Linked DNA regions of Tribolium castaneum. The protein of the gene in region 2 purifies or fractionates together with the protein of the main gene of each other region. This does not show direct contact. Links are inferred from orthologs where the notes say so. Each region holds a gene or a part of one and is shown on either strand. Other genes may lie near its edges.

Region 1 (6,557 bases), on a different chromosome or scaffold from region 2:
GTAAAAAATCTGTGTGGGGTTTAGTTTCGGGTCCCCAAATACAGTTTCCTTCCCTCCCACAAACGTCAAAATCGGACGCAATCTCATGGCAACGTAAATGTCACTATGTCATTGCGTGTTTACGAGCAAGTGAGATATGCACGTATCGTCCTGTTTGTAATAAAAATCAAACATTAACATTATTCGGTCGTGCTATTTCGCGAATTTGCTAACCACCTACGTGTCACTGTAAACCGTTGGTGTTTTTCCAAATCTCGAAGAAATGAGTGACAGTGCGGGCCCATCGAGCAGTTCGGACCAAAGACAGCGGGGGCTGAACGTGGAGGCCCTCAAGCAGCACGTGCTCACCCACAAAATCGACTGTGGGTTGTGGGCCATTCGGGTGCTGACCATCCTCTTCACTTGCGGCTACTTTTTGCCAATTTTCGGGTAAGTAGCCTTGTACTCATGCTAATTACAGGTAGCCGGTTGATAACCGGTTGTTCTTGGGTTGTGTTTTTAATTGTGGTGTTTAGGTAAAAACGCCAAAAGTGGACGTTGTATGGTTGAGGATCCTAAGAGTGAAAAGTAGCCCATCACATATGCACTTTCTTTTTCAACTTTCACTCAGTGAGAAATTTTTGTTGTGTTGCAGGAGTGCTCAAAATGCCTATTACAAGGCGCTCATTGCGAACGCTGCCATTAACGCCCTCAGGCTGCACCAGAGGTTGGGGAGGGTTAGGCTGAGTCGGGAGTTTGTGGCACAGTTGTTGATGGAGGATAGCTGCCACTATCTCTTCTATTCCATGATTTTTATCTATGTGGCACCCTTGACCTGTATCCTTCTCTAATTAATGTGAATTGATTCAATTAGAGCAGCACTGAATTCATTTCCTTAACTAGAATACAGTGGTTTTGTTGCCAGTGGTTCTGTTCGCTATTCTACATTCAGCCAGTTACTCACTAACTCTACTTGATGTAATAGTCAGTAACAGCACTAGTAACGTTTTAGTAATTTTTTGTTTTTCAGACTTTGGGCCAAAACTCGTGGTGGGGCGCCCGCCTCTTGATATCTTTGGTCGAATTCCAGTCACTAAATATCTTGAGACTGATCGCATTCACTGAGATTATTATGATGCCACTCACTGTACTTTTTGTCGCTATGTAAATAATCTAAATGGGGTAATATTTTTTATAAAAATTGTTTTTGCAGGGGACGGGCTAGTCTACTGACGCCTTTTATCTATTATCATTTTTTGACTCAAAGGTACACATCAAGGCGTAACCCTTACAATAGAAACATGTTCCATGAACTCAGAATCTTGTTCGAAAAGACCGCAGCAAAGCCCAATCTACCTTCCTTTGTGAAGTCAATCTTGCTAGGGATTATCAATTTCACTGTTAAGTTAGCACCTCCCCAGGTGCAAGCCCAGCATCAGCAGTGAGCTAGTTGTTCCATGTATCCTTATTATATCAAATGTTCGTGATATGGGTAATTTTAACGCCTAGTATTGTTTATTTGCACTTGTTTGGTACATGTTCATGCAATTTTTTGCACGAATTTGAGGTATGGTTGCAAAATTTCGTCCGTTACTTTTTATATACTTTTAACCCAGGAATGATTTTTTATTAATTTTTAGTATGGATGGTGTAAAGTAGTTTTGTTATATCGTTATAAATGCATTGTGCTCATGGAGGTTTCTGTTGTAAAACTCATTCGAATTAAATTTTCTCCATGTCATGTTGTTATGTTAATAAGCAAAAGTTTGTAATTTCACAATAAAAAAATATTTAAAAAAGGGCGTTTTATTGAAATACTCTTCATTATTCCCATTATTCTTCATTATTCCCATTTTTTATTTTTGTTATTGTTATTACGAACTATGATCCAGTTCAGAGATAAACATTTAGTAAACAGGCCGAAAATTAAAAATTGCTTTAAGCTCTCTTATTTTGCGAAATTCCTTTAAAAACGGACAGAATCACGATGTCTTTTAAATGCTTACTTTAGCACATTTTTAAACCATATTTTGTTCAAAAAGAAACGGAAATTATCTACGCTGCTTTTGCCTTTTTCACTCAACAATTAGTTGCTTCGCCAAAATTTTTGTTTACGTGTCATTTTGTAAAATCTTACTTAGTTGGAAATTACGTAGCTCCAAAGTTTAGCTAATTTTCTGAAATGTCGATAAAACACGTCGCAGTTAATGACTCACTGCTTTAGAGGAATTTCTTTTTTTAGAAGGGAGAAAACATTCCCAATGGCAAAATTAGGAATAAGGTTGAAACAGGAAGGGCATTTTTCTTGGTATTAAAATAAAACGAAAGTTATCTTTCCAGAATTTTATTGAAAATTAATCTTATGATAACTTTAAGCTACTACTGGAATAGCTGGTGGTGCGTCAGGTTTGACTGCTTTGATTTCACTGCTGGGGTAGGCAGGCAAAATCTCCTCTTTAGGTTCCACAACAGAGACATTGTCAGGCAGAGGCTTTTTGGGGCCTGTTTTGCCGCTGGGGTCCCACGGCAACATAATCTTGACCTAATACAACAAAATAGCATCATACAAACACCAATAATTTTACAAAAACTTACTTTAATTCCCAGCACACCCTGTCTTAGCAAGACGTGGCGGGTGGCTGTGTCCACATAATCATTGCATGGGTCCCCAGAGTGGATCATGAGACCGTCAACAAACTTCATCGATTTGGCTCTCTGGCCACGCAGTTTTCCAGAAACTACAACTTCACACCCTGCAAAATAACCACTAAATTAATTCAAAATACGTTTTGAGCCAAATGTCCAAACCTTTAGCGCCACATTCCATGATGTACCTCAAAACACCATAGCAAGCCCTGCGCACGGCCAAACCTCCGATCAATTTGAATCTAAGAGACTCTGCTTGTGCAATGGCACACAGACCCCTGTTGGCCACCTTCTCGCCATACAAAACGACTGAGTTTTCGGGGAAATTGAAACGTTTCTGTACGACTGAAGTCAATTCACGAATACGACGGTTCTTCTCCCCCAAAACACGGTCAGTACGTGTGGCCATGATGATGATTTCCGTGCGAGTTGGGGTGACTCGGACCTCAACCCCGGAGTACCCATCTTCTGATAATTCACGAGTCAAGAACTCGTTCAATTCGGCTTTGAAAACGCCATCGCCAACAAACTACAAATAAGCGCAACATCAAGTCGGTGAACTGGGGACCACATGTGGGAAAATGTTGGGTTATGGTTTGGGGAACAAGTAAACATGAATGTTAGCCCAAACATGTGTGCTTATTTTACAAGATTTTGGGCTCTAATGAAGAGTTAAACATGTTTAAGTGGATGGAAAGGCCAATTTCTGGTATTTACCTTGCGTTTTTTCGAAATTGGAGTCGCCATTTTGACGTTCTAAATGGAAAAGGTTTGACGTGTGGCGAGCGGAAGTCGACCTAATTGGGAAGGGATGTGATAGAGGACGCTTACAAGGCGGCTTATTTGAATAATTTTTGGAGAGAAAACTTTCTTGCATATCGGGTAAATAACGTAATGAAAAGACTGTTCTTTTTTCAGTTTTTTTACCTTCAAAAAATTATTTTTTTTTTATCTGAGTAGCTCCAACCAAACCAACAACTTTTATGAACTTTTATGTGTTCAGAACTCTTTTTAATCATCTATCGTTTAAAAAAAGGTCATTGTCCTGCTACTGGTAGTTTCCAAAAATATTATTATTGCTAACAAATGCAAAAATAGCCAAAATCTATTTCGGTTTATAACTTGAAAAACTATTACGAATTTACGACGCCAATCAATTCTCCAGACAATTTTGCATACGAATAATTGAAAATATCTCAATTTTGTCGTATATTTTCGCCGTAATTGAGAAAATAAACGCAATGTAATTCTACACAAGTTGCGCCAAATGTAAAATATTATCTTGGGGAAAGATCTTGGACCGAATAATTTATGCAACTGTTGCGTAAAACAATGTAAGACCATAGGCAAAAATAAATTAAAAACAAAAATAAATAAATAAATTCTCTAGTTTTTTTGGTAATTTTGTTAATTTCTGTCATCTATTTTTTATGTTTGTGGTTTGACAACATACGTTGAGGTTATGTCGTGACATTTTATACAATGTGGATCAAAAAATACCTGCTTAAACCTCATTCACCCTCATTATAAATTTCTGTTCCACTCAGTCACTTAACTGGGCCAGGATTGTGTTTCAAGATAATCAAATTAATAAACATGGCGATAGCGACAAATAGTTCAATATTATCATTGTTACCAAAATATCTGTTTTGATAAGAATGGCTTCGTGGAGCACTTACTTGCAAGCGATTTTCTACATTGCTCTGTTATTTTTCGTTATCCCTATAAGAATAAAAGGCCCAGACCAAGCCGAATCACAATTTCAAGAGTACTTGAAAAGGTTCAACAAGACATACGATGACCCTTCTGTGTATCAAAACCGTCTTCATGCATTTAAGGTAAAACTTATAATTTGTGTCCTTGTTGTATAACGTCGCTTTTCAGCAATCACTACAAACAATCGAGACTTTGAATTCCAAAAAAAGGAATGGTTCAGCACTGTACGGTTTAACGAAATTCTCGGACTTGTTACCAGAGGAATTTTTCCAAACCTATTTACAATCAAACCTGAGTCAGAAGACGCATTCAAATGAGCCAAAACGACACCACCATAAACGAGCAACAGTGCCTAATAAAGTAGATTGGAGAGAAAAAAACGCAGTGACTAGAATTTACAACCAAGGCAGTTGTGGGGCCTGCTGGGCCTACTCTGTTATTGAAACTGTGGAGTCCATGAACGCCATCAAAACCAACAAGTCTGAGGAGCTCAGTGTGCAAGAAATTATCGATTGCGCTGGTAACAACAAAGGGTGCAATGGGGGCGATATTTGCACTTTACTGTCTTGGATCAAAGCCACAAATTTCACGATTCAAAGACACGCCGATTATGGGGGTAAATGTGGCCGGGGCTCGGCTGGTGTCCATGTTAGAGACTTCATGTGTGAAGGGTTCGTTTAGTTATTTTTTAAGTTTATTCTTTCTTATGGAAACTTTCAGATTAGTGGGGTCTGAAGATGTTATGTTGAGGCTTTTGGCGGATAATGGACCCCTGGCTGTTGCGATTAATGCGCAAACTTGGCAGAATTACATTGGAGGTGTTATTGAGTATCACTGTGATGGGGATCCGTCAAAGTTAAATCATGCTGTCCAGATTGTTGGGTATGATTTGACTGCAAGTATTCCGCATTATATTGTCAGGAATACGTGGGGTGTGGACTTTGGGGACGGGGGATTTTTGTACATAGCTGTGGATAAAAATATGTGTGGGATCGCAAACGAGGTCTCAGCATTAAGAGTACTGTGATTTATTTAGATAGTGATGTTTAAGTGTATCCATTTTATGTAGAAAATGTATAGGTTTTATACACCAAGTGAGAATAAATGTTTTTTTATTATTGTATTTTTTCTTCCATAGTCCTTGAAAATAAATACTGGTCGCCACCAATGAGCTTGTAATAATTAACTCCTTTTTTTGTGAAAAAAACTCACACATCTTCAGTTTGTTGTTGCGTCAGACATTTTTTTTATAAATAAGCTTCATGGTCCTTCCCTTTATAAAAGCAGGTACGTATTTCATAACGGATTCCAGTTCCAGTGGTTTAAAGTCGTCTAAATAATACAGAGCCATTTCTCTTTTGTTACCTAATTTTTTGTTGCTATACCTAATTTTATACTGGTACATTTTTATAGCAAATTTTGCTGCAGCTTAAATAAGAAATCCGATATTGCGTCAAGATTTTCGAGAAAGAAATAAAAAAAATGTTTTTAACCAGGGACATGTGCACTATACTTACATAAAAAAGCCTCTCTGTGTTCAAGATTTTTGTTAAGAGTGGCCATTGCATTAAATTTTAGAAGTAACATAAATATAAAGGTGTTATTTTAGGCTTTTTAAAGTTTTGTTCTTTTAATTGCTCTGTGGGTAATGGGTAGTTATTATTTTTCTAAATATAAATTTAACGGAAACATTTTGTTTGATTTAATCCTGTCCCTGTAATTGAGTTAATCTACATCATAATTATCCATTTCAAAAATAAATTTAACTTTTGTGGTGGTTTGCTAGGCAAAATTTCCTTACACACGGAAAATAATACAGTGAGTTTGAAAACTCAAAACCCAGAAATGTTGACTTTTCGCCAAATTATCGATGTGTTGAAAAAAATCTGGCCGACGCGGCTCTATTTTGAATTTTAACAGCTCACAGTGTTGATAGGGAAGGGGATCTGGGCTGGTGAAAATAATTTCCTCAAAAAATAGTTTATAAATATTTTATTTATCCCGTTTGAATAACACAGTGTCTTGCAAGTATTTATTTTTGCTCCTTTAATAATAATGCTACGTAATGATCAACCTCGAAACACTTACCTGCGATTTTTCCGCATGATTAGCGTTATATTATTATTAAATCAGTAACATTTGCATTGACTAATGGTTACATTATACCTACTAACGACTTCGTATTGCGTTTCGCCAAAAAAACTTTGGATTGTAAT
Region 2 (6,399 bases):
AGCGTCTTTAGGGCCTAAACCTTTGACGATAGAGATCTGATCTCGCGGACTTATTTAAAGGAAATTTGATTCTCTACAACTTTCTTTTGAACAATTTTCTTGTATCTTCAACTGTATTCGCAGCGTTTTGAAAAATATGGGACAAGGACCAAATTTTAAATGTTTCATAATTTTTTTCGCATATTTCTTACAAAAATTTTAGTCGGCACTTTTTCTCAGTCTGTTAAGAGTGCCAAGCTTAACATTTATGCATTTTTTCCAAATAATAAATGAATTGGTTGGATTTAAATTAATTTAAAACGATTTGGCGCTGAGATTCGAAGCGCCCTCATTTAGTACTCTGCAGTACTATTTTTTTGGGTTCAGAAAATCCTGCGATTTTGTATCTCGTTTCGTCTCCTAAGTTATAGTGCTCCGTAATTTATACTTAAATAGTAAATAAAAATTATCCTACTTCGAGTCAAATATTCACAAAGCGTCTCAAAATTTTGGGAATTTCCCGCCTGTAAACAATGCGTCGTTCTATTTTTACTTGACGAAAAATCGGAGCGCGTGATTTCGTGGGCGTTTTTGCACTCGGTGTGGTTTATTTTGAGGGGGTCACACAAATCGAATGATGCATGCGTACGTGACTGACGGTAAATAGTAAAGTCATTTTCGGCAATTAATGTTTAGAGGGTCAACAATTACGCTAATGTCTTATTGAGTGATAGACGGCTTAGAGGTCATCACTCTTTTGTTTTTTTTATTGTTTTATTTATCATTTTTGCTCAATTGTTGACGTGATTCGTTCTAATTTTATACACATATTTTGTACTTTAATGATGTGTGATGAAATGTACTACGAAGTTAAGTAATCAGCGAAATTTCGCAAATAATGATTCTTGTAAAAGAAATCGCAATGAAAGACCAAAACAATTTTTTGTGTTAGTGACAAATCTCGTATTAATCACGGGAAATTTTACGGACAAATGGCTACAGATCCAGGTAAAATTTTACTGTTTTCGAAAAAAAAACCGGGCATTTTTCGATATAGGAAAAAATTGGTATCAGGGCTCAAACCTTTATGTATTTGCAACGTAAAACATTTAGTCTGAATTACATTAATTAAAACAACTCGTCTTTTTTTGAAAAAAAAAAATTTGGTGAAACAGTGATTCTTTTACCTTACTCTAGTTTTAAAACAGATTTTTGTGAATTATAAAAATCTAAAAGATGTGTACAATAAATAAATGTTTACAAATCCAGAAAATTTCGATGTTATGAAAAAAAAAAAAAAGAAAAAATCGTAACACAAATTAAATTTTATTTATGTGACTTTAAATCTGTTGTTTAAATGATTGACAGATGAAGAAAAAAAAGTTGCCGATATCAGGGATCGAACCCCAAGTTTTTAGAATTTGTGACAAAAAAACATTTAATTTGAGTTTTCAAAACACAAAACTCTGGTTTTACAACCATCTTAACGATAGATATGTAAAAGTCTCTAGAAATCCAAGTAACATTGTGCTTATTTTCAAAAAAAGAAGGTAAAACAGAGGTTTGTTACTTATCTTAGTCTACATTCAAAATAACTGTTTTAAAAAGTTGGCGGTGTCAGGGATTGAACTCCAACTTTTCAAATTAGTGACAATAAAACAGCTAGTTAAAATTTACAAAATCAAAGAAAATTTGTCAATACTTGAGTTATTTTCAAAAAACCAATTAGTGTTTTTTTGAGACTATTTTTCTGACTTGTATGAGAATTTTAAACATAAAATAAGAACGGTGTGTTTGATTGGATTTTCGAATAAATTATTATTCAGAAAGAGTAATTAAACAAAATGAGTGCTTTTGGCTCACCAAGGCGAAGCCGAGGCATAATATTTAATATCAATTTGAGTTTTTTTTTCTGTTGACAAAAGCGACAGAAATCCAGTTAAAATTATTATTCTAGTTTTAAATTTGTTGTTTTAAGATATAAGACGAAAAAAAGATTCCATTTGCAACGATATAAAAGTTTTCAAAATAATTTTTTTTTTGCAAGAATCCAAATATCTCCATATCTAGATAAAATCGACTTATTATCAAAAAAAAAAATGGCAAAACCGTCTGATTTCAAATTTATTATATGCCAATTTTAATTGTTGTTTTAACGCTTAATATAAAGGAAAAAAAAGGTGGAGGTATCAGGGATCAAACCCCAACTTTTTGAATTTGTGACGACGAAGCATTTAAACAGTTTTGAAAATTAAAAAACAATGATTTTGCAATAAATTAAGTGTCTGAAGATCCAGGAAAAATTCAACTGTTTTCGCAAAAAAAAATACGAAACAAACTCTCTATTTACTTTTATCTTATTCTGGTTTTAAAAGTGTTGTTAAGTGGGCTGGGGGGGAATGAAGGAAAAAAATAAGGTTGCCTGAATCAGAAATCACACCCCATTTCTTGTTTAATTTACAACGAAAATAACACTTACAAGTTTTCAAAATTAAAAAAAAAAACAGGTAAAACAAACAGATTTTTGACGGTATCAGTAATCAAATCACAACTTTTTCAATTTGTGATGATATAAATATTTAGTTTGAGTTGTCAATAAAATTAAAAAAAGCTGTTATGAAATTGATAAAAAAAATTGGTAAACTGGTCTTATTTTTTATTATTTTACTCTACTTTTAACACGCTTGATTTTAGATGAAAAAAAAAAATGGCGGTATCAGGGATCGAACCCCAACTTTTTAATTTGCAATATTAAACGTAACCATTTATTTGAATTTAATAATAATAATAATGAAGTGCAATGTACAGTCACCATCAAAAAGAATGACACCCCTACCAACCGGGTCGGATACCAAAAAATTTAAACAAAAAAGTTAGTTATTTTGTAAACTATCCAAATGTACATATTATCCGTATCATATCGAAAAGATATGTGACGGCGGTTTTCTTTTTGATCGTGACTGTACTATACGTATTTCAGTTATTTTAAAGCAGTTTTAAACAGCTGGACGTTTGTAATATTGACACATTTGTAATTTGCTTTGGCAATTAGCCTATGATGAGTAACTTAATGCCATTTTTGAGTCACACAACAATGCAACTGCAAATTTGTACAATCAGTAACCACAACAGATTTTTGACGGTATCAGTAATCGAATCACAACTTTTTCAATTTGCGATAATATAAATATTTAGTTTGAGTTGTCAATAAAATTAAAAAAAAACTGTTATGAAATTGATAAAAAAATTTGGTAAACTGGTCTTATTTTTTATTATTTTTACTCTACTTTTAAGACGCTTGATTTCAGATAAAAAAAAAATGGCGGTATCAGGGATCGAACCCAACTTTTTAATTTGCAATATTAAACGTAACCATTTATTTGAATTTAAAATAATAATAATAATAAAGTACAATGTACAGTCACCATCAAAAAGTATGACACCCCTAGCAACCGGGTCGGATACCAAAAGTGCGATTAAAATCATAATTTCAACAAACAGGTTAGTTATTTTGTAAACTATCCAAATGTACACATTATCCGTATCATATCAAAAAAGATTTTTTTATCGTGACTGTACTATACATACGTATTTCAATTATTTTAAAGCAGTTTTAAACAGCTGGACGTTTGTAATCTTGACACATTTGTAATTTGTTTTGGCAATTAGCCTATGATGAGTAACTTAATGCCATTTTTGAATCACACAACAATGCAACTGCAAATTTGTACAATCAGTAACCACAACCCCAGCAAATCAAGGTTAAACAAATTAATTCTCTCAACTCTAACTGTCATAATTCGTCGAGTTCCGTTATGTGATTACAAGAATTATTTTTCCTGTGAGCAATAACAGCATTGTTGCTTTACATCATAGGAAAACCCACAAGCCAAAACAAGAGATTAACACAACTCACCTTCGTAGTTCCATTGGTCGAGATTGATCTCCTGATAGGGCTGTTTGGGGTAAGTTAAACCAAGTGATATCCTTTCTTGTTCTTGTACTGGATCGGTGATGGCTCTGCATGTTCGTAAATCACCATTTCGTGCTGCTATATGTAAGGGTGAATCACCTCGGATGTTTCTGGGACAGGGTTTAGCACCTGCCACCACCAACCACCGAACTATTAGCCAGTTCTGTTTGGCAGCGGCGAGGTGGATTGGTGTTTGGGCGTTATCATTGGGGGTGTCAAGGAACAAAGGGTGGGGAGCTTTCCTGATTAAAGCAAGGACTACCTCGACGAATCCTTCGGCAATCGCCAAGTGGAGGAACCTGAAAGAAAGAAAGGTCAAATTCAGACGTTGGAAATTCCGAGTTGAGTGCTTAGTTCCGATCTCCCCACTACTACGAAGAGTACGATAACGTACCAGGACAGTGTTGCCAGCGCTAACGATTTATCACAAAGTTCAGTGATTGTTTTATGACTCGAAATTCGAAAATACATAGTCAAAATTAAACCGAAAAAGTGGCAATAACTCAATTATTGCACTTAGTCACTGAACAATACAATTTTTTTTAAATTAACCAAAATGTCTCGAAATTAGGTAAAAAATTTTATTAAACAAAGCACGAAATTACTCTTACTATTTGCTATTTTCGAATAATACTAGCAACTATTTCTCAAAACTGCGTACAAAATCACATCAAACCTAGTTTAGAACATTCACTGATTTCTGCTTGATCAGAATGTTTCATGAATTAAATCAGTCACTAAATTATTTAGACAGGAAACTAAACAACCAAATTACATCGAAAATGACATTCTACTTGCATTTTTTTCAGCTTTTTAAAATAAATCAACGAGCAATTTAAAAATGTCATTATTCATTTCCCAAAAACGTAATTATTTTCCAAAATTTGGTCAAAAATTAACAACAAACTTATCAAATTATTTTCGCCTTTTCTCGGTGTTTACACATTTTTCAGTCAGATTATATTTGAACTTTTTCAGCTCAATCTTCTTTGAAATCATTATTTTTTCATGAAATTGCACAAAAATAGTACTTTTTGCAAATATTTTATTAAACTTTCCGTTACGAAAATTTATAAAGTCAAAAATATCGTTCCTGTTGCCTTTTTAACGCAATTATTTCGCAAAATTTCTAAATTAAAGTTAAAACGGTGTTAGCTATGAGTTATATTGGTTATAAGCCAATATTTCCCCAGATACGAAAAATCACTGGATGAGTGTTTTATTAACTTTTTCAGTCAGAAATGTGACTATAAAAAAATTGCCAAAATAAACCAAAAGTCACTAAATATGTTAAAAAGTGTACTTCTTAGGACTGGAAACTAATTTGATAAAAAAAATCCAAAAACAACCAAATTAGATCGAAAATGGTGTCCTACATGCTTTTTTTAACTTTTTGCAATAAATCGACAAGCAATTTAAAAATGGTAATAATTTTACAAGATTTAGTTAAAAACTAACAACAAACTTGTCAAACGATTTCTAAAATTACATTATTTTCGCATTTTCTTTACAAATTTTTCAATCAGAATTTTGATTATTTGAACTTTTTCTGCACAATCTTATTTGAAATAATTATTTTTTTCATGAAATTGCACAAAAATAATCAAATTAAAACGAAAATGGTATACTTTGTGCAAATTTTTTATTAAACTTTCAACACAAAATAAAATATTCTAAAGTCAAAAATATCGTTCCTGTTGCCTTTTTAACGCAATTATTTCGCAAAACTTCTAAATTTAAGTTAAAACAGTGTTAGCTATGAGTTATATTGGCTATAAGCCAATATTTCGCCAGATACGAAAAATCACTGAATTAAGTCGAAAATAATTTAATGTGAAATTCAATTATTTGGTAAATTTTCGTCAAAAATAAGTTGAAAAGTAGACGAGAAGTTTAATAAATGTCGAAAATGTCATTATTTTTAAGGAAAAATTAATTATTCTCAGAAATAAAAAATTATATAATTCCAAACATCACCAAATTGGGTCGAAAATGAATGCAGTCAAAAATAAATTACAAAAATCGTAATTAATGATTATTTTCGACTTTTTCTGTCTTCAAGCAAACATTTTAATCGGAATTTTGATTTTCACAAAATTTCGTCAAAAAATGTATTATTTATGTCTCTTTCAAGCCTTTCAGAACATTTTTTAGCAAAAAATTCAGTTGAGAAATTTCGCCTAAAAAAAGCTCTACATTAATTTTGTGTTTTCGTCAAAAACTATTTATAAAAACTGTTTCAAAAATAAAGCAAATGTCACTAAATTTGGTCAACAATGAGACTATTCTTTAGACATAATTGCAATTACGTTGCGAAATTTCATTAAAATAAACTTTAAAAAAATTAATGAAGTTGAAAATTGTGGTATGAAATGAAATTGTTTTACGTTTAATAAAAAATAAATCGAAAAATTAAAATTGTGCCTTTTTCAAGTCTTCACTAAACA

Evidence for each region. Proteins that work in one complex are often made in the same cells at the same time.
Region 1: the proteins of cact (region 2) and RpS3 purify together in Homo sapiens (affinity purification with western blotting; 4 studies listed by BioGRID and IntAct, with this or other methods). This does not show direct contact. The link is inferred for Tribolium castaneum from reciprocal best matches to the Homo sapiens genes NFKBIA and RPS3.

Annotation. Positions count from the first base shown.
Region 1 is NC_087402.1:7,604,815-7,611,371, reverse strand, and holds RpS3 (ribosomal protein S3), read right to left. Parts: upstream 4,168-6,557; 5' UTR 4,126-4,167; exon of another isoform or gene 4,052-4,125; intron 3,476-4,051; exon of another isoform or gene 3,423-3,475; 5' UTR 3,373-3,422; coding exon 3,343-3,372; intron 3,155-3,342; coding exon 2,788-3,154; intron 2,733-2,787; coding exon 2,575-2,732; intron 2,522-2,574; coding exon 2,351-2,521; 3' UTR 2,308-2,350; downstream 1-2,307. Other genes in the region: Kr-h2 (Krueppel homolog 2), read left to right, coding at 263-429, 635-816, 890-957, 1,010-1,143, 1,193-1,424; cathepsin O, read left to right, coding at 4,284-4,463, 4,510-5,012, 5,062-5,368. UniProt on the Homo sapiens protein: Component of the small ribosomal subunit. The ribosome is a large ribonucleoprotein complex responsible for the synthesis of proteins in the cell. Has endonuclease activity and plays a role in repair of damaged DNA.
Region 2 is NC_087395.1:1,373,271-1,379,669, forward strand, and holds part of cact (cactus), read right to left. Parts: intron 4,252-6,399; coding exon 3,896-4,251; intron 1-3,895. UniProt on the Homo sapiens protein: Inhibits the activity of dimeric NF-kappa-B/REL complexes by trapping REL (RELA/p65 and NFKB1/p50) dimers in the cytoplasm by masking their nuclear localization signals.